4 linked regions of the Anolis sagrei genome follow. The protein of the gene in region 2 interacts with the protein of the main gene of each other region in a pairwise test. Links are inferred from orthologs where the notes say so. Each region holds a gene or a part of one and is shown on either strand. Other genes may lie near its edges. The genes, in order: SYTL4, CEP70, BRMS1 and METTL17.

What was found.
Region 1: the proteins of CEP70 (region 2) and SYTL4 interact in binary tests that used the Homo sapiens proteins (3 or more experiments, as listed by UniProt). The two-hybrid records come from large-scale screens. The link is inferred for Anolis sagrei from reciprocal best matches to the Homo sapiens genes CEP70 and SYTL4.
Region 3: the proteins of CEP70 (region 2) and BRMS1 interact in binary tests that used the Homo sapiens proteins (3 or more experiments, as listed by UniProt). The two-hybrid records come from large-scale screens. The link is inferred for Anolis sagrei from reciprocal best matches to the Homo sapiens genes CEP70 and BRMS1.
Region 4: the proteins of CEP70 (region 2) and METTL17 interact in binary tests that used the Homo sapiens proteins (3 or more experiments, as listed by UniProt). The link is inferred for Anolis sagrei from reciprocal best matches to the Homo sapiens genes CEP70 and METTL17.

The regions. Positions count from the first base shown.
Region 1 is NC_090030.1:10,025,906-10,033,627, forward strand, and holds the start of SYTL4 (synaptotagmin-like protein 4), read right to left. Parts: upstream 3,012-7,722; 5' UTR 2,931-3,011; intron 1-2,930. UniProt on the Homo sapiens protein: Modulates exocytosis of dense-core granules and secretion of hormones in the pancreas and the pituitary. Interacts with vesicles containing negatively charged phospholipids in a Ca(2+)-independent manner.
Region 2 is NC_090021.1:218,659,156-218,666,920, forward strand, and holds the start of CEP70 (centrosomal protein of 70 kDa), read right to left. Parts: upstream 3,003-7,765; 5' UTR 2,900-3,002; intron 1-2,899.
Region 3 is NC_090032.1:9,016,095-9,022,993, reverse strand, and holds the start of BRMS1 (breast cancer metastasis-suppressor 1), read right to left. Parts: upstream 3,013-6,899; 5' UTR 2,856-3,012; intron 1-2,855. UniProt on the Homo sapiens protein: Transcriptional repressor. Down-regulates transcription activation by NF-kappa-B by promoting the deacetylation of RELA at 'Lys-310'. Promotes HDAC1 binding to promoter regions.
Region 4 is NC_090026.1:14,066,753-14,073,677, reverse strand, and holds the start of METTL17 (ribosome assembly protein METTL17, mitochondrial), read right to left. Parts: upstream 3,004-6,925; 5' UTR 2,956-3,003; coding exon 2,878-2,955; intron 1-2,877. Other genes in the region: angiogenin-like, read right to left, coding at 5,860-6,303. UniProt on the Homo sapiens protein: Mitochondrial ribosome (mitoribosome) assembly factor. Binds at the interface of the head and body domains of the mitochondrial small ribosomal subunit (mt-SSU), occluding the mRNA channel and preventing compaction of the head domain towards the body.

The sequences.
Region 1 (7,722 bases), on a different chromosome or scaffold from region 2:
GATGCAGGCGAAACATCAGGAGAAATGCCTCTAGAACATGGCTATATAGCCCGGAAAAACCTACAACAACCTAATCATACTGTTCGACCTTTTTCGGCTCCTCTCAAATACACATTTTCTACTCCTATCTCATCCAGGGTTTTATCATTTTATCTTCTCCATTTGGCCTGCCATTTGTATTCAATTTTCTACTATACTATTTTGCTTTGTTCACTTTATTTTGCCACTCTATATACTTTATTGTGATGTGACTTTTGTTATGCTTTGCACTTTATTTTGCTGTATTGTATCTTTGGGCTTGGCCTGGTGTTAGCCATCCCGAGTCCCCTTTGGGGAGATGGTGGCAGGATATAAAGAAAGATTATTATTATTATTATTATTATTATTATTATTATTATTATTTTACTGGTACAAAAGTTCAGTATGTCACTTATTATTATTATTATTATTATTATTATTATTATTTCAGGACAGGGAAATAAAGCAGCAATAGGAAAGATTACCAGGCCAATTAGATTTAACGTGGATGACTAGGACAGTTTTAAACTGTGTATTTTAATATTTTGATAAATGTTTTTAATGTTTATGTATGTATATAAGAATGTGTTCCGGCATTGAATGTTTGCCGTATATATGCTGTGCTCCGCCCTGAGTCCCCTTTGGGGTGAGAAGGGTGGAATAAAAATATTTTAAATAAATAAATGAATAAATAAAATTATTATTATTATTTATTTATTTGAAGCCATTGTTCCATGTCCTAGTCTCCAGGACAGCAGAAAACAAGCTTGCTCCCTCCTCCCTATGATTTCCTCTCACATATTTATACATGGTCCTCATCGTGTCTCCTCTCAGCCTTCTCTTCTTCAGGCTAAACAGGCCATGCTCTTTAAGCCGCTCCTCATAGGACTTGTTCTCCAGACCCTGGATCATTTTAGCCACCCTCCTCTGGACACATTCCAGCTTGTCAACATCTCTTTTCAATAGATAGGCAGGAGCCTTTGGTGGTCCAGCGGGTTAAACCGCTGAGCTGCTGAACTTGTTGACCGAAAGATCGCCTAGTTTCCAACAGACCTCACAACCTCTGAGGATGCCTGCCATAGATGTGGGTGAAACGTCAGGAGAGAATGCTTCTGGAACATGCCAAACTCACAGCAACCCAATAATAATTTTGTTTGTTACCTGCCTCTCTCTGTGGAATAATTAAAACATGTAAACATTGCAAAACTTCTATAAATAATGGGCATGTTTCTGGAAAAGATACATATTAAAATGTATCCTATTAAAAGACAAGGGATACAACTTGGTTTACACATTCCAAAGTAATTTAGAAACAAATCCTGGTGAAATGAAAGAGTCTGAAATATAATACAATATAACATAATACAAGGCAGTTTCAGAAATAGCCGCTTTGAGTCCCCTTTGGGGAGATAAAGCGGATTATAAATAATAATAATAATAATAATAATAATAATAATAATAATAATAATACATTAGTTGTTGAAGGCTTCCATGTCTGGAATCACGGGGCTGCTGTGAGTTTTCCGAGCTGTATGGCCATGTTCCAGAAGCATTCTCTCCTGATGTTTCACCCACATCTATGGCAGGCATCCTCAGAGGTTGTGAGGTGTGTTCGAAACTAAGCAAATGAGGTTTATATACCTGTGAAATAATATCCAGGATAAGAGAAAGAACACTTGTCTGTTTGAGGCAAAGGTGAATGTTGCAATTGGCCACCTTGGTTAGCATTGAATGGCTTTGCAGCTTCAAAGACTGGGTGCTTCCTGCCTGGGGGAATCCTTTGTTGGCAGATGATTAGCTGGCCCTAATTGTTTCTTGTCTGGAATTCCCCCGTTTTTGAGTGTTGTTCTTTATTTACTGATATGATTTTAGAGTTTTAGGTATTAATGTTACAATTGGCCACCTTGATTAGCATTGAATGGCCTTGCAGCTTCAAAACCTGTCTGCTTCCTGCCTGGGGGAATCCTTCGTTGGGAGGCGTGAGCTGGCCCTAATTGTTTCTTGTCTGGAATTCCCCCGTTTTTGAGTGTTGTTATTTATTTACTGTTATGATTTTAGAGTTTTAGGTATTAATGTTACAATTGGCCACCTTGGTTAGCATTGAATGGCCTTGCAGCTTCAAAACCTGGCTGCTTCCTGCCTGGGGGAATCCTTTGTTGGGAGGTGTTAGCTGGCCTGAATTGTTTCTTGTCTGGAATTCTCCTGTTTTTGAGTGTCGTTCTTTATTTACTGTTATGATTTTAGAGTTTTAGGTATGAATGTTGCAATTGGCCACCTTGATTAGCATTGAATGGCCTTGCAGCTTCAAAACCTGTCTGCTTCCTGCCTGGGGGAATCCTTTGTTGGGAGGTGTTAGCTGGCCTTAAATGTTTCTTGTCTGGAATTCCCCCTTTTTAGTGTTATTCTTTATTTTCTGTTATGATTTTAGAGTTTTAGGTATGAATGCTGCAATTGGCCGCCTTGGTTAGCATTGAACGGCCTTGCAGCTTCCAAACCTGGCTGCTTCCTGCCTGGGGGAATCCTTCGTTGGGAGGTGTTAGCTGGCCCTGATTGTCTCATGCCTGGAATTCCCCATACAGCTTGGAAAACTCACAGCAACCCAATAATCAATTAGTTTGCAACCCTTTGATACAAGAGCCAACTGACCCAAAGCCGGGAGGATACTGGGATGAAAAGTGAAAGAAACTGGGAGATACTGGGATGGAAAACGAATCCAAAGACAGGCAGTTAAAAGCAGTATCACCCTGGATCAATTCTGCTGTGTAGATGCACCCTGGGTGAGCTTGGTGGCTTCAGAGGGACATAAAGTGAGGAAAGCACTCTGTGTATGCTCAGAGGCTGCGGGGAAGAGGCTTGGAAGAGGAAGAGGAGGCAAGAGCTTGCAGATGCAAAGGAAGGGAAAGAAAAAGTACCTGTCTCTCTGCTCCAGGCTGAGGGAGAAAGAGCCTCGTTGGCCCGGGAGGAGCCGCTCCCTTAAAGGGGCCGCACCCCTTTTCATGCCAGGCTCTTAAAGGGACAGCGCCCCGGCTGGGATGGCAGGGGGCGTGGCCTCACCTGGGAGGGGGCGTGGCCAGGGCGGCAGCAGGACCTCCCATCCTTACTAACAGCTTTGAAGTGCAGCTTCGTGAGGCCCAATACCTTGTGAAACTAAAAATCCCATGACCTAGGCAAGTAGTGGCAAAATGCATCAATTCTACAATGTGGATGCTATATTGGAAAGCATTGCAGCACCTACCTGTGCTGGCCAGGTAAGAGACTGCAGCCTCATCAAAGGGGAGGTCCTCACACATCCCTTGCCATACAGGCACAATAAATAAGAAGTTTTGCAGTACTTCCTTGCACTTCCAGCAAATTGGAGTATGCCTTACTCATACTAGCACAATAAAGGAGTTGTGCAGCACTTCTTTGCACTTCCAACATATTGGAGTATGTCTTACTCATACAGACATAATAAATTAGAAGTTTTGCAGCACTTTGCATTTCTAACACATTGGAGTATGTCTTACTCATACAGACACAATAAGAAGTTTTGCAGCACTTCTTTGCATTTCTAACACATTGGAGTATGTCTTACTCATACAGACATAATAAATTAGAAGTTTTGCAGCACTTTGCATTTCTAACACATTGGAGTATGTCTTACTCATACAGACACAATAAGAAGTTTTGCAGCACTTCTTTGCATTTCTAACACATTGGAGTATGTCTTACTCATACAGACATAATAAATTAGAAGTTTTGCAGCACTTTGCATTTCTAACACATTGGAGTATGTCTTACTCATACAGACACAATAAGAAGTTTTGCAGCACTTCTTTGCATTTCTAACACATTGGAGTATGTCTTACTCATACAGACACAATAAGAAGTTTTGCAGCACTTCTTTGCATTTCTAACACATTGGAGTATGTCTTACTCATACAGACATAATAAATTAGAAGTTTTGCAGCACTTCTTTGCATTTCTAACACATTGGAGTATGTCTTACTCATACAGACACAATAAATTAGAAGTTTTGCAGTACTTCTTTGCATTTCTAACACATTGGAGTATGTCTTACGCATTCAGACACAATACATTAGAAGTTTTGCAGTACTTCTTTGCATTTCTGGCTGCCGATTTGCTACCGGACCCAATTCAAGGTGCTGGTCTTGGCCTACAAAGCCCTAAACGGTTCCGGCCCAAAATACCTTTCGGACCGCATCTTGGCCTACGAGCCCACGAGGACCTTGAGATCGTCTGGGGAGGCCCTTCTCTCGATCCCGCCTGCGTCACAGGCACGGCTGGCGGGGACGAGGGAGAGGGCCTTCTCGGTGGTGGCCCCCCGGCTGTGGAACACTCTCCCGGCACACATCAGACAGGCGCCCTCCCTCATGTCCTTTCGAAAAAGCCTTAAGACCTGGCTGTTCGAGAGGGCATTTAATTAAGTGCTAAGCAACAACATTACGGTAATGAGAACTGGAATGGTATAAGGAAGATGAGACTGGCTATGATTCTACTAAGAGACGAAGCGGATTTTTATGTAGTTTGTATTTGTCGTATAGTTATATGTTGTTGATACTGGCCTTTGTAACTGTCTTTTTATGTGTACTGTACACCGCCATGAGTCGCCCGTAAGGGCTGAGAATGGCGGTTAATAAGTGCATCAAATAAATAAATAAATAAATAAATTTCTAACACATTGGAGTATGTCTTACTCATACAGACATAATAAATTAGAAGTTTTGCAGTACTTCTTTGCATTTCTAACACATTGGAGTATGTCTTACTCATACAGACACAATAAATTAGAAGTTTTGCAGTACTTCTTTGCACTTCCAACACATTGGAGTATGTCTTACTCATACAAACACAATAAATTAGAAGTTTTGCAGAACTTCTTTGCATTTCTAACACATTGGAGTATGTCTTACTCATACAGACATAATAAATTAGAAGTTTTGCGTACTTCTTTGCATTTCTAACACATTGGAGTATGTCTTACTCATACAGACATAATAAATTAGAAGTTTTGCGTACTTCTTTGCATTTCTAACACATTGGAGTATGTCTTACTCATACAGACACAATAAATTAGAAGTTTTGCAGCACTTCTTTGCATTTCTAACACATTGGAGTATGTCTTACTCATACAGACATAATAAATTAGAAGTTTTGCAGCACTTCTTTGCATTTCTAACACATTGGAGTATGTCTTACTCATACAGACACAATAAATTAGAAGTTTTGCAGCACTTCTTTGCATTTCTAACACATTGGAGTATGTCTTACTCATACAGACACAATAAATTAGAAGTTTTGCGTACTTCTTTGCATTTCTAACACATTGGAGTATGTCTTACTCATACAGACACAATAAATTAGAAGTTTTGCAGTACTTCTTTGCATTTCTAACACATTGGAGTATGTCTTACTCATACAGACACAATAAATTAGAAGTTTTGCGTACTTCTTTGCATTTCTAACACATTGGAGTATGTCTTACTCATACAGACACAATAAATTAGAAGTTTTGCAGTACTTCTTTGCACTTCCAACACATTGGAGTATGTCTTACTCATACAAACACAATAAATTAGAAGTTTTGCAGCACTTCTTTGCATTTCTAACACATTGGAGTATGTCTTACTCATACAGACACAATAAATTAGAAGTTTTGCAGCACTTCTTTGCATTTCTAACACATTGGAGTATGTCTTACTCATACAGACACAATAAATTAGAAGTTTTGCGTACTTCTTTGCATTTCTAACACATTGGAGTATGTCTTACTCATACAGACACAATAAATTAGAAGTTTTGCAGTACTTCTTTGCATTTCTAACACATTGGAGTATGTCTTACTCATACAGACACAATAAATTAGAAGTTTTGCGTACTTCTTTGCATTTCTAACACATTGGAGTATGTCTTACTCATACAGACACAATAAATTAGAAGTTTTGCAGTACTTCTTTGCACTTCCAACACATTGGAGTATGTCTTACTCATACAAACACAATAAATTAGAAGTTTTGCAGCACTTCTTTGCATTTCTAACACATTGGAGTATGTCTTCCTCATACAGACATAATAAATTAGAAGTTTTGCAGTACTTCTTTGCATTTCTAACACATTGGAGTATGTCTTACTCATACAGACACAATAAATTAGAAGTTTTGCAGCACTTCTTTGCATTTCTAACACATTGGAGTATGTCTTACTCATACAGACATAATAAATTAGAAGTTTTGCAGTACTTCTTTGCATTTCTAACACATTGGAGTATGCCTTACTCATACAGACACAATAAATTAGAAGTTTTGCAGCACTTCTTTGCATTTCTAACACATTGGAGTATGTCTTACTCATACAGACATAATAAATTAGAAGTTTTGCAGTACTTCTTTGCACTTCCAACACATTGGAGTATGCCTTACTCATACAGACACAATAAATTAGAAGTTTTGCAGCACGTCTTTGCATTTCTAACACATTGGAGTATGTCTTACTCATACAGACACAATAAATTAGAAGTTTTGCAGCACGTCTTTGCATTTCTAACACATTGGAGTATGCCTTACTCATACAGACACAATAAATTAGAAGTTTTGCAGTACTTTTTGCACTTCCAACACATTGGAGTATGTCTTACGCATTCAGACACAATAAATTAGAAGTTTTGCAGTACTTCTTTGCACTTCCAACACATTGGAGTATGTCTTACTCATACAGACACAATAAATTAGAGGTTTTGCAGTACTTCTTTGCACTTCCACCACATTGGAATATGTCTTACTCATACACAGGCACAATAAATTAGAGGTTTTGCAGTACTTCTTTGCACTTCCAACACATTGGAGTATGCCTTACTCATACAAACACAATAAATTAGAAGTTTTGCAGTACTTATTTGCACTTCCAACACATTGGAGTATGCCTTACTCATACAAACACAATAAATTAGAAGTTTTGCAGTACTTATTTGCACTTCCAACACATTGGAGTATGTCTTACGCATTCAGACACAATAAATTAGAAGTTTTGCCCCACTTCTTTGCAGTTCCAGCAAACTGAAGTATGAAGTTTGGTATTACTTTGTATTTCTGGCAAATTGGAGTATGTCTTACCCCTACGGGCACAATAAATGTTTTGCAATACTTCTTTGCAATTCTGGCAAACTGGAGTTATGTCTTACGCATACAGGCACAATAAAGAAGGTTTGCACTACTTATTTGCAGTTCTAGCAAAGTAGAGTATGTCTTACTCGTACACAATAAATAAGTTTTGCAGTAATTCTTTGCAGTTCTGGGAATTTGGTGTATGTTTCCGGCTGAGGTTTTAGGGCAGGAGATGCTAAGAAGGTTGAATGAAAAGTAATGCCTCCACCTTTGTAACTCCTATACAGATGGCAGTACTGGTATGCAGCAGGTACTGGCTTGTTCAGCAGACTCTCCTCTACAGTTCCATCGTGGTGGGAAGTTTGCTCTCCTTTAGGCTAATGGGGAGGAACAACAGGTGATCATATGAGGGTTGAATGAAAAGTAATGCCTCCACCTTCGTAACTCAACAGATGGCAGTACTGGTATGCGGCAGGTACTGGCTTGTTCAGTAGACTCTCCTCTACAATTCCATTTTGGCGGGAAGCCTTAGCATTGAATGGCTGTGTTGTTAAAGTGCAAAGTATGGAACCCTGCACAGACAGTCGGTTAATGCGACTTAATC
Region 2 (7,765 bases):
TCTTGACTATAAAATGAGTGCCACTAATGAAATCCTACCCTTCTCAATAGAAACAAAGGTGAAATAACGAGCAATCTGTGTGAGACAATGCAGTTTTTCCAAGTAGGATTGCCGGAGTGGAAACTGGAGATGGCTCTTCTACCTTTCGTGACTGTGTTTGTTGTTATTGAATATCTTCAAAACTTTTTTTGGACCTATGGGGATCCTAAAATGAACCGATTACAGTGTTCTTTTGGTAAGATTTGTTCAGAGGGTATTTGCCATTGCATTCCTGTGAGAGTGAGAGAGTGTGACTTGCCCAAAATCACCCACTGGGTTTCACAGTTGAGGATACAGACCCTGGTCTCTAGAGCTTTAGTGCAATGCTCTCACCAGTATCCCACATTGGCTCTCTCATGGCTGTTTCAAGGAGATTTCTGAAGTGGTGGTGACTTGGTTGTGTGAAAAGTTACGCCTTCAACACAACCACAAAACACCTCACAACCTCTGAGGATGCCTGCCATAGATGTGGGTGAAACGTCAGGAGAGAATGCTTCTGGAACATGGCCATACAGGAGTCAAAGCCTTGTGCCGATAGGATTGCTGACCCACAAGGATGGTAGAACATCAAACATCTGGGCGTCCCCTTGCTGATGGCCAATTCTCTCACACCAGAAACAACTTGTAGTTTCTCAAGTCACTCCTGACATGAAAAAAAATGGCCATACAGCCCAGAAAAATCACAGCAACCTAGAGATTCTGGCCATGAAAGCCTTCAACAATACACAAAACGTTTGTTTAATCTAGCTGTCATATTATTTCCAGGTGCATGTTAAAATATTCTCATTTTCATACTCTTCTCAAGTGAATACAGTCATATTCTGTACTTACAAGACCCGTGGGAAATCAAAATGTTCACCAAATGCAACAAAATGACATCAACTATTATTTGTTTGCAAAACAATTCAAACAATGTGCTTTTTGTAAACATTCCCAGTAGAAATAAGGCCGAAATAATCCACGTAAAAACAACAAATCCTCCCAAGTTAAGTCGTGTACATGGTAGAAGAGGGAATTTCAGAAGCTTTGCTAGCTGGTTGTGTTAAAAGCAAATCCTTGTGGCAACTCCTTCTACACAACTACCAAAAAAAGGTTTGTTTATGTTTTTAGGTGTATACTATAATGTTCTGTACTTGAAAGGCCCATGGTGTAGCAAAGTATTCACCAAGTGCTTTGCAAACACCATGCAATAAAGCCTCCCATGGTGTGCTGCCAGAGTGAAGTCTCCACAGCAGGCATGGGCCAACTTGGGCCTGCCCTCTAGGTGTTTTGGACTTCAACTCACACAATTCCTAACAGCCTACCGGCTGTTAGGAATTGTGTGAGTTGAAGTCCAAAACACCTGGAGGGCAGGCCCAAGTTGGCCCATGCCTGCCATAGAGGATCCTGTGGCTTTCATGGCTCTATGAAAGCAGTGACATCTCCGGCCCATCCCATTCAGTTATCAGCCAGCACGCCAATGCCTTAAATCAAGAAATAGTTTTCTAAGATCTACAGAAATACTCGCAGGAACACCTCAGCAAGCAAGAGTCCAAAAGTGGCAGGCAAAAACCTGGAACCTCAATCCTTGGCTGATACCAAATGAGAGACTCCCACCTTGGGCACACAGAAGACTAGGTGACTTAGAAGGCGCTGAACAGACTTTGTTTTGGTACCACGAGATGCAGAGCCAATCTTAAGAAATGGGGCTACAAAGTGGAGTCCATGACATGCGAGTGTAGAGAAGAGCAAACCACAGATAATGCAGTCTGAGCCCTGCCACATGCACAATGGAGGACCTTCTTATAGCAACACCAGAGGCATTCCAAGTGGCCAGCTACTAGTCAAAGGACATTTAATACAACGCAAAGTTTTTAAACTTCGTGTTGTTTTAAAATACAAGTTCTGGCCCAACTTATCTGTCCGAACGCATCTCCCCTTATGAATCCTCTAGGACTCTAAGATCATCTGGGGAGGCCCTGCCTTCGTCACAAGTACGTTTGGCAGGGACAAGAGACAGGGCCTTCTCAGTGGTGGCCCCTTGGCTATGGAATGCCCTCTGTAGGGATATCAGATCGGCCCCTTCCCTTTTAACATTAAAAAAAAAACCGGGAGACTTCGCTTTTTGAGCAAGCGTTTGCAGATGCAATATAACAAACATAGGAAAAATGGAATGATGCTATTAACAATGCTTTTAACAAGGAGACTCTAATTGATATATTTTTTTTATTGATATTGACTATTTTAATTGGTTTTATATTTAAGCTAATTGATTTAATCATGTTTTATGTTTTTGATGCTGACTGTAAACTGCTCCGAGTCACCTGCAGGCTGAGAGGGGCAATATAATAATAGTAATATAGTAAATAATAAATAAATATAGTAAAATATATTTATTTATTAGATATATATATATATATATATATATATATAAAAATAATAAATATAGTAAATTATTATTTACTATAATAATATAGTAAATAATAAATAACCAAACTGTACCCTTGGTTCGCTCCTGATATAATAAAATAGATGGCTGTGTAGAAGACTGAATCCCCTGGCTGTGTGACAACCATTCAACCAACCAAGTCTGCATCTCTACAAGCGACACTACTTTACTTGCCATGGCTCACAGCTATGAGGTCCTGGGAGCTGTAGTTTGGTGGTTCCCCAGGAGAGAGGGCTGGAGCCTTTGCAGAACTACATCTCCCAGCATGGAGCCATGACAGTTAAAGGGGACTCAGATGCATTCATTCTGCAGTGTATGCAGCCAAGGAGAGGGCGTTTAACACAGTTAAAGGGGTATCAGATGCATTCCTTCCCTTTCAGTGCCTTCCTCCCTGCTTAATTCGCATCATTCTCCTCTTCTTGCGGTACATACCGGGGCCTGGGCTCCTTGCCTCGGTCTCAGAAGCCGTTATAGGCGGGTCTCCAAGGAAAGAAGGAGGGGTGAAGGGAAGGAAGGAAGGGAAGAAAGAAGGAAGGGGAAAGCAAGAAGGAGAGAAAAGCCCGCCCCAGTTTCCGCCCCAAGGAGGGGCTTGAAGGCATCTTTGTATTTCAGAGCCGACTTGGGCAAAGAAAGGAAAGCCCAATGCCTTCCTCTGAAATAGCTGCCTGAGGCCTCCCCTCCAGTACTAACCAGGGCTGCCCCTGCTTAGCTTCCAAGATCAGCCAGGATCTACTGCCTTGAGGATGTTTCAAGTGACCCAAGAAGTTATGGTGACCTCATGAGTCTCATAGGCATCTTCAGAGGTTGCAAGGTCTGTTGGAAACTAGGCAAGTGGGGTTTGTTTACTCTCAAATGTAAATGTTGCAATTGGCCACCCTGATTAGCATTTAATAGCCTTGCAGCTTCAAAGCCTGGCTGGTTGCTGCCTGGGGGAATCCTTTATTGGGAGGTGTTAGTTGGTCCTGATTGTTTCATGTCTGGAATTCCCCTGTTTTCATTGTTCTTTATTTACTACCCCCTGATTTTAGAGTTTTTAAACTTTCTCTGGAAAGTTAAAATGCTGCCAAATTGCAGTTTAGATGCATGCTTAAGGCGCATTAGTGTATAGAGTTGTGCTGAAGACAAGCGGACAAATGTCAGCATGCTGGAAGAAGCAAGAACCACCAGCACTGAAGCGATGGTCCTCCACCATCAACTCTGATGGACCGGCCATGTTGTCCGGATGCCTGACCACCGTCTCCCAAAGCAGTTGCTCTATTCCGAACTCAAGAATGGAAAACACAATGTTGGTGGACAGGGAAAGAGATTTAAAGACGGGCTCAAAGCCAACCTTAAAAACTCTGGCATAGACACTGGGAACTGGGAAGCCCTGGCCCTTGAGTGCTCCAGGTCAGCTGTGACCAGCAGTGCTTTAGGATTTGAAGAGGCATGAATAGAGGGCGAAAGAGAGAAACGTGCTGTAGTAGGATGAATGCGGTTCGACACCACATCAACTGCTACGGCTGAATGCTGTGGAATCGTGGGAGTTGTGATTTGGTGAGACCCCAGCCCTCTTTGGCAGGGAAGGCTCAAGGCCTTGTCTAATAACCTTTAGAAAGGAACTGAAAACATGGATGGGGAAGCAGTCATGGGCAAACTTGGGCCCTCCGGGTATTTTGGACTTCAACTCCCACAATTCCTAACAGCAGGGAGGTTTTGAGGTCTGTTGGAAACTTGGCAAGTGAGATTTATATATCTGGGGAATGCCCAGACACGAATCAATAATCATGCTAGGCACTGCAGACTAATTCAACCTGAGAAGTCAGCCATAGCAGAACACCTGATGAACCAACCTGGACACAGCATATTATTCAACAGAAAGGAGGAAACCATGAAAATGAATAAAATCTGGCCACCGGTATTTTAAAAACTCTAAAATTAGGACAGTAAATAAAGAACAGCACTCAAACTACAAGAAAGGAGATTCCATCTGAACATGAGGAAGAACTTCCTGACTGTGAGAGCCGTTCAGCAGTGGAACTCTGCCCCGGAGTGTGGTGGAGGCTCCTTCTTTGGAAGCTTTTAAACAGAGGCTGGATGGCCATCTGTCGGGGGTGATTTGAATGCAATATTCCTGCTTCTTGGCAAAGGGTTAGACTGGATGGCCCATGAGGTCTCTTCCAACTCTTTGATTCTTTGATTCTATGAAAAGCAGGGGGATTCCAGGCATGAATCAATCAGGGCCAGCTAATCACCTCCCAACAAAAGATTGCCCCAGGCAGGAAGCAGCCAGGCTTTGAAGCTGAAAGGCTAATCAAGGTGGCCAATTGCAACACTCACACTAGCCTCCAACAGACAAGAGTTCTTTCTCCCACCCTGGACATTATTCCACAAATGTATAAACCCCACTTGCCTAGTTTCCAACAAACCTCTCAACCTCTGAGGATGCCTGCCATAGATGTGGACCAAACGTCAGGTGAGAATGCTTCTGGAACATGGCCATACAGCTCGGACAACTCACAGCAACCCTCTTCCCAGTCTGGTTTTGGACTTCATCTCCCAGAATGCCCGGCCATTGGCGGTGGCAGCGGAGGCTTCTGGGAGTTGAAGTCCAAATTCCTGAAAGCCTCGAGCCCCTGCTTAATGGGCGTTTCCAGAGGGGGCGGGGCGAGAGAAGGGGCGGGGCCTGCTGGGGAAAACTTCCGGGGATGAGGACTTCCATCCGTCCGCCTCGGCGGGTGCGTTGCTGGGCAGAGGGGCCACTCGAGGTAGGCCCCGCCGCCATTTTGGGAGGAAAGGCGAGGAGGGTGACCCCAGGGAGAGGAAAGGGAAGGAGGAGGCGGCCTCCTTGCTCTGGCTCTGGGCAGAAGAGACTGGGAAGCACTGCAGGCTCCGTCCCGAGGAAAGGCCTCGTTTCCGGGAGACTACGAGATTTAGAGGGCCAGGTAGACCCGACCCTCCCTCCCCCCCCCTTCCTCCTCCTCCTAGAGAAAACTTCCCCCTCGTCCAGTTTGACACCGCTTTAACTGCCATGGCTCAATGCTGTGGCACAGTGAGATACTCTGTAGTTCCTTTCCCTGCCAAGAGTGCTGGTGCTTCACCAAACTACACATCCCAGAATTCAGTAGCATCAAGCCCTGGCAGAGGAAGTGGAGTCAAACCGCATCAGTGTGATTTGCACCCGTTGAGTATCCCTTCTTCGAAGTGTTTGTGGGGACCAGAAGAAGTGTTTGGGATTATTATTATTATTATTACTCTTTTTCTTCTTTCTTCCTTCCTCCTCCTCCTCCTCCTCCTCCTCCTCCTCCTCCTCCTCCTCCTCCTCCTCCTCCTCTTCTTCTTCTTCTTCTTCTTCTTCTTCTTCTTCTTCTTCAATATTTTGGGAGATGGGACCCAAGGCAATAAACACGGAATTCATTTATGTGCCAGTAAACAGCTTCTGAAATGCTGTTATGCACCATATTTTATATCATGGAACTCAGTTAATAATAATAAGTGCCTAAAGACCTTGGCCTGCACTTAAACACAATCGGCGCTGACAAAATTACCATCTGCCAACTGCAGAAGGCCACCTTACTGGGATCTGCACACATTATTCACTGATACGATATGAGGATTTAAAGATCGAACTGCAAAGACTCTGGCACAAGCCAGTAAAGGTGGTCCCTGTGGTGATCTGCATACTGGGTGCAGTGCCTAAAGACCTTGGCCTCCACTTAAACACAATCGGCACTGACAAGATTACCATCTGCCAGGTGCAGAAGGCCACCTTACTGGGATCTGCACGCATTATTTGCTGATACATCACACAGTCCTAGACACTTGGGAAGTGTCTGACGTGTGATCCAATACAACAGCCAGCAGAGTGATCTTGTCTGCTGTGGACTCAGCTTGTTGTGTTTCTAATTAATAATAATAACAACAATAACAAATTTTAATTTATATCCTGCTTTTCTCCCACAAAGGGCCCCAGAGTGGCTTCCAACATATTAAATACAGTACAAAATAACAGTTTCATTAGAAAACAAAGGTGTCCCTGGCTCAGCCACCCAGGTGGATAATTTTGGAGCGTTTTGTATTTTTGGATAAAGGGATACTCAACTTGTGTCAACTGTCAAATGCTCATATTCCTACTTCATCCAAAAATATGTAGGAAGTGTCTTTTAGGTAGCTAAAAAGACCGTAGGAAGCTCGCCCAGTTTATGTGATCCTATGTGTTTGTGTTCATGTTTCGGTATCCTAGAAACAAAATCCTACTTTTGTGTCCTCAAATCATACCGTTCTTTTGAAAGTGAGGAATCTACCACCGTAATCTCCTTTCTGTAGATGTAAAACTTTTTTTTATTTCAGCATGAAAGAATGTGACAAAAACAAACGCAGTGATAAGTGTTTGGTATTTCATATTAATCAAGAATATAACAAATACAGAAACATTACTTTAAAAAGCACCACTTGCCGAATTTGAATCTATGTAGATTCACTTTCATTCAGTTTATTTCAAAATGCTGGTGAGCTCTATGCAGAAATATCTAGAATACCTTGAATAAAAATTGAACTAAATACATATGAAATATTTTCCTACATGCTTTTGGCATTTAAAGTTGTGGCATGACTAAGGTGCTCACTTTTAAGGTAGCTCTTGTTTAATTGGGAAGTGGCATATTTTCTATTCCAGCAGACTTCAAGGAAGTGGCTATAAGTGTTTTTATGTTGTGCTATTCTATTGATTTTTATCAAATGTGTTTTTAATCCATTTGTTTCAAACAGTGACACTTTATTCACATTTAACAGTATCCTTTTTCTGTTTGTGCTTATGGTATGAACATGCATTTTTATTTTGCTTTAAATTAGTGGACTAAGGTGAGACACAAATTGAATAAAATGGAATTATTGACAAACATATTGCTGTCATTTCCCTCTTCATCAGCTTCCACCATCTCAGCCCCTTTCGTAAATGTAACATCAGCACACATCTTTCTAATGGTTAGGGCAAGCACCAGCCTTGTTCCTGGTCTATGTAGCACCTCTATTAAACCCGCAATTTGTAACAACTGACAACATTTCCATTCATTTTAAGTGTTGGTGAAAAAAGTTGTCACAGTTAGACTAGACAACACCAGTCAGCAGACAGATTATTATTATTATTATTATTACTATTCAATATTTATACCCCACCCTTCTCACCCCTAGGGGACGCAGGGCTGCTTAGATCAGGGCCCTGACATTGTTAAAGTATATAGACTATCCAGTTGCATCTTTTCATAAAGCTGACTGAATATGGGCATAGCAGTCTCGGGAAAGAGTGACCTTCCTTCATCT
Region 3 (6,899 bases), on a different chromosome or scaffold from region 2:
TATGTCACAGCAAATGAGATCTCTATGCTGGATTTCGTATCACAAAATCACAAGTCGAACACTTCCCAAGCGTCTAGGACTGTATGATATATTTTCGAATGATGCGCACAGATCCAAGTAAGGTCGCCTTTTGCAGTTGACAGTGATTTTGTCAATATTATTATTATTATTATTATTTGATACACAACAAGATTAGTACACAGCAAACAAGACCACACTGCTGACTGTTGTATTGGATCACACGTCGGACATTTCCCAAGTGTCTAGGACTGTGTGATGTATCGGCAAATAATGCATGCAGATCCCAGTAGGGTGGCCTTTTGCAGCTGGCAGGTGGCAATTTTGTCAGCGCCAATTGTTTTTAAGTGCAGGCCAAGGTCTTTAGGCACTGCACCCAGTGTGCCGATCACCACTGGGACCACCTTGTCTGGCTTGTGCCAGAGTCTTTGCAGCTCGATCTTTAAATCCTTGTATCGTGTCAGCTTTTCCAGTTGCTTCTCATCAATCCTCTCTTAGTCATTATGTTTGGTTTCTATTTCTGTGTATACTATCTATATGCTTTGATGTTTTATATTTTATTGTTATGTTGTTTATTTTAATGCAATTTGTATTTTTGTATTGTAATTTGTTGTTCGGGCTTGGCCCCATGTAAGCCGCTCCGAGTCCCCGTTGGGGGAGATGGTGGCGGGGTATAAATAAAGCATTATTATTATTATTATTATTATTATTATTATTATTATTATTATTATTATCCTGCTGTCGCCTGGGATTGCAACATCGATCTATACTGTTTTTTCCCATAATCGTGAGGTCAGGAGTATTGTGCTCCAAAACTCTGTCTGTCTGAATCCAGAAGTCTTAGAGTAGCTTGATGTGTAACTTTTTCAGGCTAGTTATTATTATTATTATTATTATTATTATTGTTATTATGTTTTAAATATTTTAAAAACATAATACATTTTATTTGTAAATCATTATTATTCTTAAAAGTTATTAAAGAGTGGCATTGCATATTATTTTAATAATATAAATATAATATTAATATTGATTTGCTGTTGTTGTTGTTCATTCGTTCAGTCGTCTCCGACTCTTCATGACCTCATGGACCAGTCCACGCCAGAGCTCCCTGTCGGCCGTCACCACCCCCAGCTCCTTCAAGGTCAGTCCAGTCGCTTCAAGGATGCCATCCACCCATCTTGCCCTTGGTCGGCCCCTCTTCCTTTTGCCTTCCACTTTCCCCAGTATCATTGTCTTCTCTAGGCTTTGCTGTCTTCTCATGATGTGGCCAAAGGACTTCAACTTTGTCTCTAGTCTCCTTCCTTCCAATGAGCAGCCGGGCTTTATTTCCTGGAGGATGGACTGGTTGGATCTTCTCGCAGTCCAAGGCACTCTCAGCACTTTCCTCCAACACCACAGCTCAAAAGCATCGATCTTCCTTCGCTCAGCCTTCCCTAAGGTCCAGCTCTCACATCCGTAGGTGACTACAGGGAAGACCATGGCTTTGACTAGGCAATGGATCTTGGTTGCCAGTCTGATGTCTCTACTCTTGACTATTTTGTCGAGACTGGACATTGCTCTCCTCCCAAGAAGGAAGCGTCTCCTGATTTCCTGGCCACAGTCTGCATCTGCAGTCATCTTTGCGCCTAGAAATACAAAGTCTGTCATGGCCTCCACGATTTCTCCCTCTATTTCCCAGTTGTCAATCACTCTTGTTGCCATAATCTTGGTTTTTTTGATGTTTAGCTGCAACCCAGCTTTTGCGCTTTCTTCTTTCACCTTGATTAGAAGGCTCCTCAGCTCCTCCTCGCTTTCGGCCATCAGAGTGGTGTCATCTGCATATCTGAGGTTGTTAATGTTTCCTCCAGCAATTTTCACCCCAGCTTTGCATTCATCAAGCCCCGCACATCGCATGATTTGCTGTTATTATTAATAATAATAATACTCATTTCCAGCTTTTTTAATGACCTGCAGGATTTATTCTGCATACGTTGAAATAATATGAGAAGTCAAACTGATATAGATATTCTCTCTCTCTCTATATATATATATTTAAATTATTTTAAACATATTTAAAGATATTTAAATTATTCATCTCCAACTTTTAATGACTTGCAGGATTATTTTACATATTGTAAACCATTATCATCATTGTTTATTGGGTTAAACCCCTGTGCCGGCAGGATTGAAGACTGACAGGTCGCAGGATCGAATCCAGGGAGAGGCGGATGAGCTCCCTCTATCAGCTCCAGCTCCTCATGCGGGGACATGAGAGAAGCCTCCCACAAGGATGATCAAATCTTCTGGGTGTCCCCTGGGCAACGTCCTTGCAGATGGCCAATTCTCTCACACCAGAAGCGACTTGTAGTTTCTCAACTAGCCTATTTGAGCTCCCAAAGAAATACTGCATTTATATACCTGAATAGGAACTGAAATATGTATTCTCCCTTAACTTGGAGAGGTTTAAACTGGCCTCCCAGATGCCACTGAACTACATCTCCCATCAACCATAACAAAGAGTGAGCCTTAGCAAAAAGTGATAAGAACAGAAGTCCTGAAGATCTGGAAGGTCCTGCATTGCCCACCATTCAAAATAATCAGTATCCTCCCCCTGATTTCAATGGACTCGTCCAACTTCTCCTAGGATTGTCCTGGAGGAACAAACCATTAAACATTTCAAAGGGGGAAGAGTGTAGTAGTATTATAGCCATACACATATATAAACCCCCCTTTGTCCGAGTTGTAATGGACTGGCCCTTGGCTTTCTCATTGGGAAATGGATAAGGCTGGAATGGACGATACCAACTTCACCGATAAAAAGGGGGGTGATGGGGAAAATAGCCGGGACCCCTTATTACCTGGGGGAGGAGCCGAGGAGGACGCAAACGCCGCTCAGGGCTCCCGCAGCAATCGGAAGTCGGCTCCGCTTGGCTCCGCCCACCGGCGCTAGCCAATCACAGCGGACTTTGCCTTGCGAAACGATAACGCCATCCACTGCACTTCGCTCACAACTCTGGGGTCCTTCGCGTAGAATTGTGGGCAGGCGGAAGCGGAAGGCGGACAGTTTCCATAGCAACGAAGCAGAAAGGAAACAAAACAGGCCCAGCCAGTTTTTTTCTGGGACAAAAAATAAAATAAAATAAAATAAAATAAAATAAAATAAAATAAAATATAAAATATAATACAAAAATATAAAATATAAAATAAAATACAAAAAATATAAAATATAAAATATAAAATAAAATAATATATTTATTATATTATTATTAGAATAATATATTTATTATATTATTATTAGAATAATACAATATAACAATATATCCAACTCTTTGATCTATGATTCTATGAATAATAATATAGTATAATAATACAATTATTATATTTTTATTTATTATAAATATAAATATAAATAAATATTTGTTTTAATAATAATAATTTAATAATATATTATTAATAATGACTTATTAATAATATAATGCACATACGAAAGTTATGTGTGTTAATATCTCAGTGCATTATTTCGGATTATGTTATTATTTGAAATAACATAATATAATGTAGTATAATAAATAATAATATAATAAATATAATATATGATTCTATGATAATATATTTTTGTATTGTTATTTATTATAATAATATATTATATTATGTTATTATAGTATTATGATATAATATTATAATATCAGATTATTTTATTATTATTTGAAGTAATTTTAATATAGTATAATGTAGCATAATATATAATATATTATAGTGTAGTATAATAAATAATAATATAATAAATATATGATTCTATGATAATATATTTTATATTATTTATTATAATAATATAATATTATATTATTATAATATTTTGATATAATATTATAATATCAGATTATGTTATTATTATTTGAAATAATGTAATATAATGTAGTATAATAAATAATAATATAATAAATATAATATATGATTCTATGATAATATATTTTTGTATTGTTATTTATTATAATAATATATTATATTATGTTATTTCAAATAATAATAACATAATATGAAATAATGCCCTGAGATAATATTAACATACATAAGTATCGTATGCGCATTATATTATTCTTATTAAAACAAATATTATATTTATTATATTATATTTATTTATATCTTGCTTTTTCTCTCTGAAAAGAGAGAAAGCAATATTGTAATATTATTATTATTATTATTATTATTATTATTATTATTGAAGATAGGAAATGTCCAAGCAGCCAGCGAGTCCTGGGGGCCTGCGAGCCAGCCTTTCCTATTGTCTTTGATTGGCTGTAATAAATGTCAATGTCTGGCAAGCCTGCCAGATTTGGATTTTCTGGGTGCTGAGATATAGAAACAATGAGGGAATTTTGGCTGAAATTTCAATGGAAGGAGATTTAAATGAGTAACAGATCAGGACAAAGGGTGGCTTTCCAAAGGCTTCCTTTGTCCTATTGAGATAGGATCATTAATGTCAAGCGACCGCCTCCCTTGGGGGGGGGGGGGGCAACTACGTGGCCCAGGGGTCACGATTCATTGTTATTTTCCATGTAAGAAATGTCTTTTGATAAGGTTCTTTTTCAACTGAGGATTTCCTCCTTTCCAGGGTCACAGGGTTGCTTCTTATATTTTTATACATTTTTTCGATAAAGGGGAATTGGGCAAAAGGGTCAGGAAAAGGTAAGGTACACAGGGAGAAATATAGAAATATAGAAATCATCATACAGAAAACATACCCACTTATCCCTCCCACCAGAATCATAGAATCATAGAATCAAAGAGTTGGAAGAGACCTCCTGGGCCATCCAGTCCAACCCCATTCTGCCAAGATGCAGGAATATTGCATTCAAATCACCCCTGACAGATGGCCATCCAGCCTCTGTTTAAAAGCTTCCAAAGAAGGAGCCTCCACCACACTCCGGGGCAGAGAGTTCCACTGCTGAACGGCTCTTACAGTCAGGAAATTCTTCCTCATGTTCAGATGTAGTTTGAAGCCATTGTTCCGTGTCCTAGTCTCCAAGGAAGCAGAAAACAAGCTTGCTCCCTCCTCCCTGTGACTTCCTCTCACATATTTATACATGGCTATCATATCCCCTCTCAGCCTTCTCTTCTTCAGGCTAAACATGCCCAGCTCCTTAAGCTGCTCCTCATAGGGCTTGTTCTCCAGAGCCTTGATCATTTTAGTCGCCCTCCTCTGGACACATTCCAGCTTGTCAATATAGAGTCCCATAGAAGTTCAAGAGAGTACATAAGTGTAACGGGAGGTGGTTTCTCAGTAATAAACCTGTTACCTTCTGCTATATATGAAACATAGGGCATAAAAGCTTCATTAAATGTACATGTGAAGGACATACATTGGGTTGTTAGGTGTCTTGTGTCCAAATTTGGTGTCAATTCGTCCAGTGGTTTTGGAGTTATGTTAATCTCACAAACGTACATTACATTTTTATTTATATAGATCGGATCACCTGAAGGTGCCCGCCTCAGATGTAGGCGAAACACCAGGAGAAAATGCTGCTAGAACATGACCATACAGCCCGAAAACCACACAACACCCCAGAAAATGGGAGATTTACGCTGCAATGTTCAGATGCAGCCACTCGAGGGAGCCTATAGGCTAGAACGGTGCCAGGTATGCTCTAGGAATATTTTTTTTGGAGGCTTTGCCCATAAGATGTTAAAATAAATAATCACCCCCTTCTGTCTCAGTCTTAAAAATTTTCTTTTTAAAAAGTCTTCCAGAAAAAAAAGAAAGTGTTGTAGTCATACCCTTCTGCTTTCCTGAAGAATAATTTTGTACTGTTTCCCTGCATGATCTCTCTCTATAAAAGTCTGTATATATGTTGGTTGGTTGGTTTGTATCTATAGGGCTTGGTGTCTCTGGACCAAACTTGGTAACTTATTGTTATTATCAGTTGTTATTATCATCAAGGCAGGGAGTTTCAGAAAAACATCTACTTCTGCTTCATTGACTATTCTAAAGCCTTTGACTGTGTGGATCATAATAAATTGTGGCAAGTTCTTGGTGGGATGGGCATCCCAAGCCCCCTTCCCTCTCTCCTGAGGAATCTGTACAAGGACCAAGTAGCAACAGTCAGAACTGACCACGGAACAACAGACTGGTTCAAGATTGGGAAAGGCGTCCGGCAAGGCTGCATCCTCTCACCCAACCTTTTTAACTTGTATGCAGAACACATCATGCGAGGATGTGCGGGGCTGGATGAATGCAAAGCTGGGGTGAAAATTGCTGGAAGAAACATTAACAACCTCAGATATGCAGATGACACCACTCTGATGGCCGAAAGCGAGGAGGAGCTGAGGAGCCTTCTAATCAAGGTGAAAGAAGAAAGCGCAAAAGCCGGGTTGCAGCTAAACGTCAAAAAAACCAAGATTATGGCAACAAGAATTATTGACAACTGGAAAATAGAGGGAGAAACCGTGGAGGCCGTGACAGACTTTGTATTTCTAGGTGCAAAGATTACTGCAGATGCAGACTGTGGCCAGGAAATCAGAAGACGCTTACTTCTTGGGAGGAGAGCAATGTCCAGTCTCGATAAAATAGTGAAGAGTAGAGACATCAGACTGGCAACCAAGATCCATTGCCTAGTCAAAGCCATGGTCTTCCCTGTCGTCACCTACGGATGTGAGAGCTGGACCTTAGGGAAGGCTGAGCGAAGGAAGATCGATGCTTTTGAGCTGTGGTGTTGGAGGAAAGTGCTGAGAGTGCCTTGGACTGCGAGAAGATCCAACCAGTCCATCCTCCAGGAAATAAAGCCCAACTGCTCACTGGAGGGAAAGATACTAGAGACAAAGTTGAAGTACTTTGGCCACATCATGAGGAGACAGGAAAGCCTAGAGAAGACAATTATGCTGGGGAAAGTGGAAGGCAAAAGGAA
Region 4 (6,925 bases), on a different chromosome or scaffold from region 2:
CAGTCTTCAAAGGCAACCCCACATAGAGAACATTGCAGTAATCTAATCGAGATGTAACAAGAGAATGGACAACCGTGGCCAAGTCTGGCTTCTTAAGGTGGCGCACAAGTTTAGGCAATTGGAGCACATTATTATTATTATTAACTTCATTTATATACCGCTTTTCTCAGCCCTTGGGCGACTCATGGCAGTGTCAATCCAATCCAGCCTGAGAGCGATTATGAAAGGACCAAATGGCAAAGTGACAACATGTAGGTCATGTTCACACTTTACAGCAGGCTTAGGCCAACTTGGGCCCTCCAGGTGTTTTGGACTTCAACTCCCACAATTCCTAACAGCCTACCGGCTGTTAGGAATTGTGAGAGTTGAAGTCCAAAACACCTGGAGGGCCCTTCCGGCTGTTAGGAATTGTGGGAGTTGAAGTCCAAAACACCTGGAGGGCCCATGTTTGCCCATGCCTGCTGTACAGTTATCACTCTATGATCCCACTTTAGTTGCCATGGTGACACCTTAAAGGGTTGTATTCAGAATCATCACCCAGAGAACTTTATCTCCTCACCAAACTACAAATCCCAAGACTTCCTTGGCCGTGAAAGTATTATCCTTGAGTCCAGAATTTGCTGACAGGAGTTGCTGCCCAAAATCTCCTTGACGACTTACAACGAGGGCCAGTTATGCTGTTTCAATTACTTCGGATTCAGTTAATCCGAATCAAAGCAGCTTCTGCCAGAAGGGACAGAGAGTTTCATCTATGCTGAAGATCGTGCCATTACTGCTCAAGCAGGGAGCTTTGAGATGGTTGAACAGAAACTCTCCGAAGCTCTAGGTGCTCTAACTGCCTATTACAGGGAAAACCAACTGAACCCTAATCCATCTAAAACACAGACATGCGCCTTTCACCTTAAGAACAGACAAGCATCCCGAGCTCTGAGGATTACCTGGGAAGGAATCCCACTGGAGCATTGCAGCGCACCCAAATACCTGGGAGTCACTCTGGACCGTTTTCTGACCTACAAGAAGCACTGCCTGAACATCTAACAAAAAGTGGGTGCTAGAAACAATATCATACGAAAGCTGACTGGCACAACCTGGGGATCACAACCAGACACAGTGAAGACATCTGCCCTTGCGCTATGCTACTCTGCTGCTGAGTATGCATGCCCAGTGTGGAAAACATCTCACCACACTAAAACAGTGGATGTGGCTCTTAATGAGACATGCCGCATTATCACAGGGTGTCTGCGCCCTACACCACTGGGGAAATTACACTGCTTAGCCGGTATTGCACCACCTGACATCCGCCGGGAAGTTGCAGTGAAAGGACCAAGGCAGAGACATCTCCAGCTCACCCCTTGTTTGGGTATCAGCCAGCACGTCAACGACTTAAATCAAGACATAGTTTTCTTAGATCTACAGACACTCGCTGGAACACCTCAGCAAGCGAGAGTCCAAAAGTGGCAGGCTCAAACCCAGAACCCCAACCAATGGCTGATACCAAATGAGAGACTCCCCCCTGGGCACACAGAGGACTGGGCAACTTGGAAGGCGCTGAACAGACTGCGCTCTGGCACCACGAGATGCAGAGCCAATCGTAAGAAATGGGGCTACAGGGTGGAATCCTCGACATACGAGTGTGGAGAAGAGCAAACCACTGACCACCTGCTGCGATGCAACCTGAGTCTTGCCACATGCACAATGGAGGACCTTCTTGCGGCAACACCAGAGGCACTCCAAGTGGCAAGATACTGGTCAAAGGACATTTAATCAAGTACCAAGTTTGCAAAATCTGTGTTTTTTTTTAATCTGTTTGTTTGTTCTGTTCTTTTAGAAATGCCCTAAACCAGGGGTCTTCAAACTAAGGCCCGAGGGCCGGATGCGGCCCTCCAAGGTCATTTACCCGACCCTTGCTCAGGGTCAATCCAAGTCTGAAATGACGTGAAAACGCACAACAACAACAACAATCCTATCTAATCTGCCAAAAGCAGGCCCACACTTCCTATTGGAACACTAATAACTTTATATGTGTTAAAATTGTTCTTCATTTTAATTATTGTATTGTTTTAGGTGTTTTTTTTTTTGCACTACAGATTAGATACGTGCAGTGTGCATAGGAATATATTCATGTTTTTTTTTTCAAATTATAATCCAGCCCTCCAACAGTTTGAGGGACTGTGACCTGGCCCTCTGTTTAAAAAGTTTGAGGGTCCCTGCCCTAAACGTTTCCGGCCCAAGATACCTTTCTGACTGCATCTCGGCCTATGAACCCACCAGGACTTTGAGATCTTCCAGGGAGGCCCTGCTCTCGATCCCGCCGGCTTCTCAAGCACGGTTGGCGGGGACGAGAGATAGAGCCTTCTCAGTGGTGGCTCCTTGGCTGTGGAACGCCCTTCCTACAGACATTAGACTTGCACCATCTCTAATGGTATTCCACAAAAAGGTGAAGACCTGGATGTTTGTGCAGGCGTTTGAGTAATTTAGTGCAATCTGGTAATGGAACATAGGAATGGAACAATGGACGAGGAACCTGGACTACGCTTGGATGATGAGAAGATTGGGTACGGTTGTTTTTTGTAATAATTGTGCATTGTAATTGCTTATTGGTAATTTATGGATAATGTGTTAAGTCAATTGTTATATGTTGTATGGAACCACTGCTGTTTCTACTGTTTGTGAACCGCTGTGAGTCGCCTTCGGGCTTGAGATACAGCGGTATATAAGCAAAGTAAATAAGTAAATAAGTAAATAAATGTAATACAATGTTCTGGTTGCGGATGACACGATAAACAAATAAATAAGCTTCTACATACAACTTTCATAACGGACACACATCACAGGGTGGAGAATAAGAAAACAAAATTGAGAAAATAAAATATTCACCCTGAAAGCCAAAGCAGTGCCAGGAACGCTGCTGTTGAAGGAACCCCATGCCTGCCACAAACGCCTGGGCGCCGCCATGTTGGGAAGGTCTCGTTTTCCCCCTTGCGCAGGCGCAAAAGCGCTCTCGAGCCCTCTCTAGCCACCATCTTGGGAAGGAAGGAAGGAAGCAAGCGACAGGGGAATAATACGCATGCGCATATGTCCCTTTCATCGTTCCTGTTCAGCTTCTTTCTAGTCGGCGAGCAAGAGCGGGGAGGGAGAGAGAACCGCTGATTGGTTTTCGTAACCCCTCTGACGTCATCGGATCTCACTTGCTGGAAAGGACAACTTTAGGAGGAGAGTGGGCGTGGTGTAGTGGTTAGTACGTTTGACTGTGATGGTGGAGAAGTGAGTTCGATTCCCAATAGGTTACTTTGGCAAATCAATTTTTTTCAATCTCAGAAGTAAGGCAAATGAGAACTTAAGCAAACGTAGGAAAGAAAGCCAAGTGACAGGTTTTTTTCTTAATCCTGTAAGGTGTCAAATGGTTAGCCTCCTTTGGCACAGAAGACTAAAGACCATGCAAAACTATAACTCCCAGAATTACATAGCAGTCAAAGTGGTGTTGAACTGCAGGGTGTCTGCGCCCCACACCACTGGAGAAATTACACTGCTTAGCCGGTATTGCACCACCTGACATCCGCCGGGAAGTGGCAGCCAATAGTGAAAGGACCAAGGCAGAGACATCTCCAGCTCATCCCCTGTTTGGGTATCAGCCAGCACGTCAACGACTTAAATCAAGAAATAGTTTTCTTAGATCTACAGAGACACTCGCTGGAACACCCCAGCAAGCGAGAGTCCAAAAGTGGCAGGCCCAAACCCAGCACCTCAATCCGTGGGTGATACCAGATGAGAGACTCCCCCCTGGGCACACAGAAGACTGGGCGACTTGGAAGGCGCTGAACAGGCTGCGCTCGGGCACCACGAGATGCAGAGCCAATCTTAAGAAATGGGGCTACAGGGTGGAATCCTCGGCATGCGAGTGTGGAGAAGAACAAACCACTGACCACCTGCTGCTATGCACCCTGAGCCCTGCCACATGCACAAGGGAGGACCTTCTTGCGGCAACCCCAGAGGCACTCCAAGTGGCCAGATACTGGTCAAAGGACATTTAACCAAATACCAAATTTGCAAAATCTGTGTGGGGTTTCCCCCCCCCCTTTTTTTTCTTTTCTTTTTAATCTCTGTGTTTGTTTTGCTCTGTTAGAATTGTAATACAATGGTTGCTCATGACACGATAAATCAATAAAATAAATACTGCATTCATTCTACAGTGTAGATGCACCCCCTAATAATTTACACTGCAGACTACATTAGTAACACAGCCAAACGACACTGGGATCAATTATATTTATTTGTGTTGAAGACCTTATAAGTATCCTAAATTATACAAAACAGCCATTAAATTTTCATAAAGTGATACTCTGCTACAACTATGTGCAATAAACTCTCAGTTAACCATCACCCATTGGGATTGATAAACATCATTTCTGGTTGCTTGAGAGTTACTGTTAAAAATAGGCCTAACTAATACTATGCTACTGCGTATTGAAACTTTATAAACATCCTAAATTGTACAAAACAACCATGACATTGAGTTGTTGTAGGTTTTTTTGGGCTATGTTTTTCGGGCTACCGTCACCAACTGGGATTGGTAGACGCTGGATAAACATAGTTCTTGGTTGCTTGAGAGTTACTGTTAAAATAGGCCTAACTAATACTATGCTACTACGAGTTGAAAACTTTATAAGTATCCTAAATGGTATAAAACAGCCATGACGTTTGCATACAATGATACTCTACAACTATGTGAAATAGACTCTCAGTTAACCATCACCCATTGGGATTGATAAACACCGGATAAACATCATTTCTGGTTGCTTGAGAGTTACTGTTAAAAATAGGCCTAACTAATACTATGCTACTGCGTATTGAAACTTTATAAAAATCCTAAATTGTACAAAACAGCCATGACATTTGCATACAGTGATACTCTACAACTATGTGCAATATACACTAAGTTAACCATCACCCATGGGGATTGATAAATGCCGGATAAACATCATTTCTGGTTGCTTGAGAGTTACTGTTAAAAGTAGGCCTAACTAATACTATGCTACTGCGTATTGAAACTTTATAAAAATCCTAAATGGTACAAAACAGCCATGACATTTGCATACAGTGATACTCTACAACTATGTGCAATATACACTAAGTTAACCGTCACCCGTGGGGATTGGTAGATGCTGGATGAACAGTTTCTGTTTGGTTGTAAGTTACTGGCCTAACTAATACTATGCTACACACTATACCATAAACTCTATTGACTTGATATTAATATTGAAACACAGTAATTAAAAGTAAATAAAGACAAACTTAATGTGACACTATTTTACTGTATTATAGAAACATTTTTTTTTAAAAAAATCTAAAATATTATTTATTCAATTTTTTGCCAGTTGCTTGAAAGTTCTGGTTGGTTGCTTGAGAGTTCAATGAATTTAGTCCACTGTAAACACCTTGGGTCCTCCAGGTGTTTTGAACTCTAACTTCCACAATTCCTAGGGATTATGGGAGGAATTGTTAGGAATTGTGGAAGTTGAAGTCCAAAACACCTGGAGGGCCCAAGTTTGCCCATGCCTGGTCTGCTGTATAAAAAGCATTTTGGGTTAGGAAGATTCAAAGTCAGTGGGGTTCTGTTGCCCTAACTCTAACCCTAATCATGGACATTCCAGAGATATATAAACCCCATTTTCCTAGTTTCCAACAGACCTCACAACCTCTGAGGATGTCGGCCATAGATGCAGGTGAAACGTCAGGAGAGAATGCTTCTGGAACATGGCCATACAGCCTGAAAAACTTACAACAACACAGAAATATCTGTTTGCAAGGAGTTTGCCCATTATTTTATGCTGTTTTTGGAAACAGGAGACATACAAGAAGCTACATAAAATTGGTCTCTTCAAACCGGATCGGCCATCCTGATGCATCGCAGCCAATGTGAATGTGTCTTTGGCCTGTGTGGGACCAGTAGCGGCATTGGCCCCGCAACGTCCCCTGAAGCTTGCAGGTGGTGACATGGAGAGGCTCCCTGCTAATCCTCAATGCCCGGCGGTAGTGGGTTCCAGCCCAGCCACAGATATCCTTTAGCTGGTTCTTTGGCACATGAACAAAACTGTTGGTGTCTTTGCAAGGCCTCGCCATCCCGCGGCGGAGCATCATGGTCCCACAGTAGTCCTGCCCGGCCATGTTTGTGCGAGGGAAGTCGTGGTGCTGCCTCCAGAATTTCTCGTGCCGAGGGTTTTGGGAGGAGCCCCCACTGGCGATCACGCAGGCGAGAACCAGGATGAGCATCAGCGTCTCAGCTCTTTTCAGAGGGAGCATCATGGCTGGATTCAGAAAAGGGAAAGTGGGTTACAGCAGATCGGTATAGGTAGGCATGGGCAAACTTCCCAACAACAACAACAACAACAACAACAACAACAACAACACTTTATTTATATTCCGCCCTTCTCACCCCAAAGGGGACTCAGGGTGGATCACATTAAATGCTGCTTTGTATAGACAATACACAGACAGACAGAACAAAAGGAGGTGGTTTGTTTCAGCTGTTTTTGGTGCCATGGAAGGTTGGGCTTGAGTCCAGGGGGAACTGTTGCTCCATCCTCTATGATGAAGAGCTGTCAGGACTTCCTCCTTCCTTTTGGTCACCCAGCATTTTCTGATCTTTCTTTATCACGTTGTAAAACACCTTCCCTGCATTTAGCAGTACCTAATTTCACTAATCACAGCTAAAGCTGTTTTTGAATTGCTTAGGTAAACAATGAGCTAGGATGACAGTTGGCAGCTCATGCCAACCCGGGGCTTCAAACTTGCAACTTTTTGGTTGATAGATCTTATAATTGCTGACGATTTACCAGCAGCCCTAACCCAAAATACTTTTTATACAGTAGACCAGGCATGGGCAAACTTTGGTCCTCCAGGTGTTTTGGACTTCAGCTTTCACAAT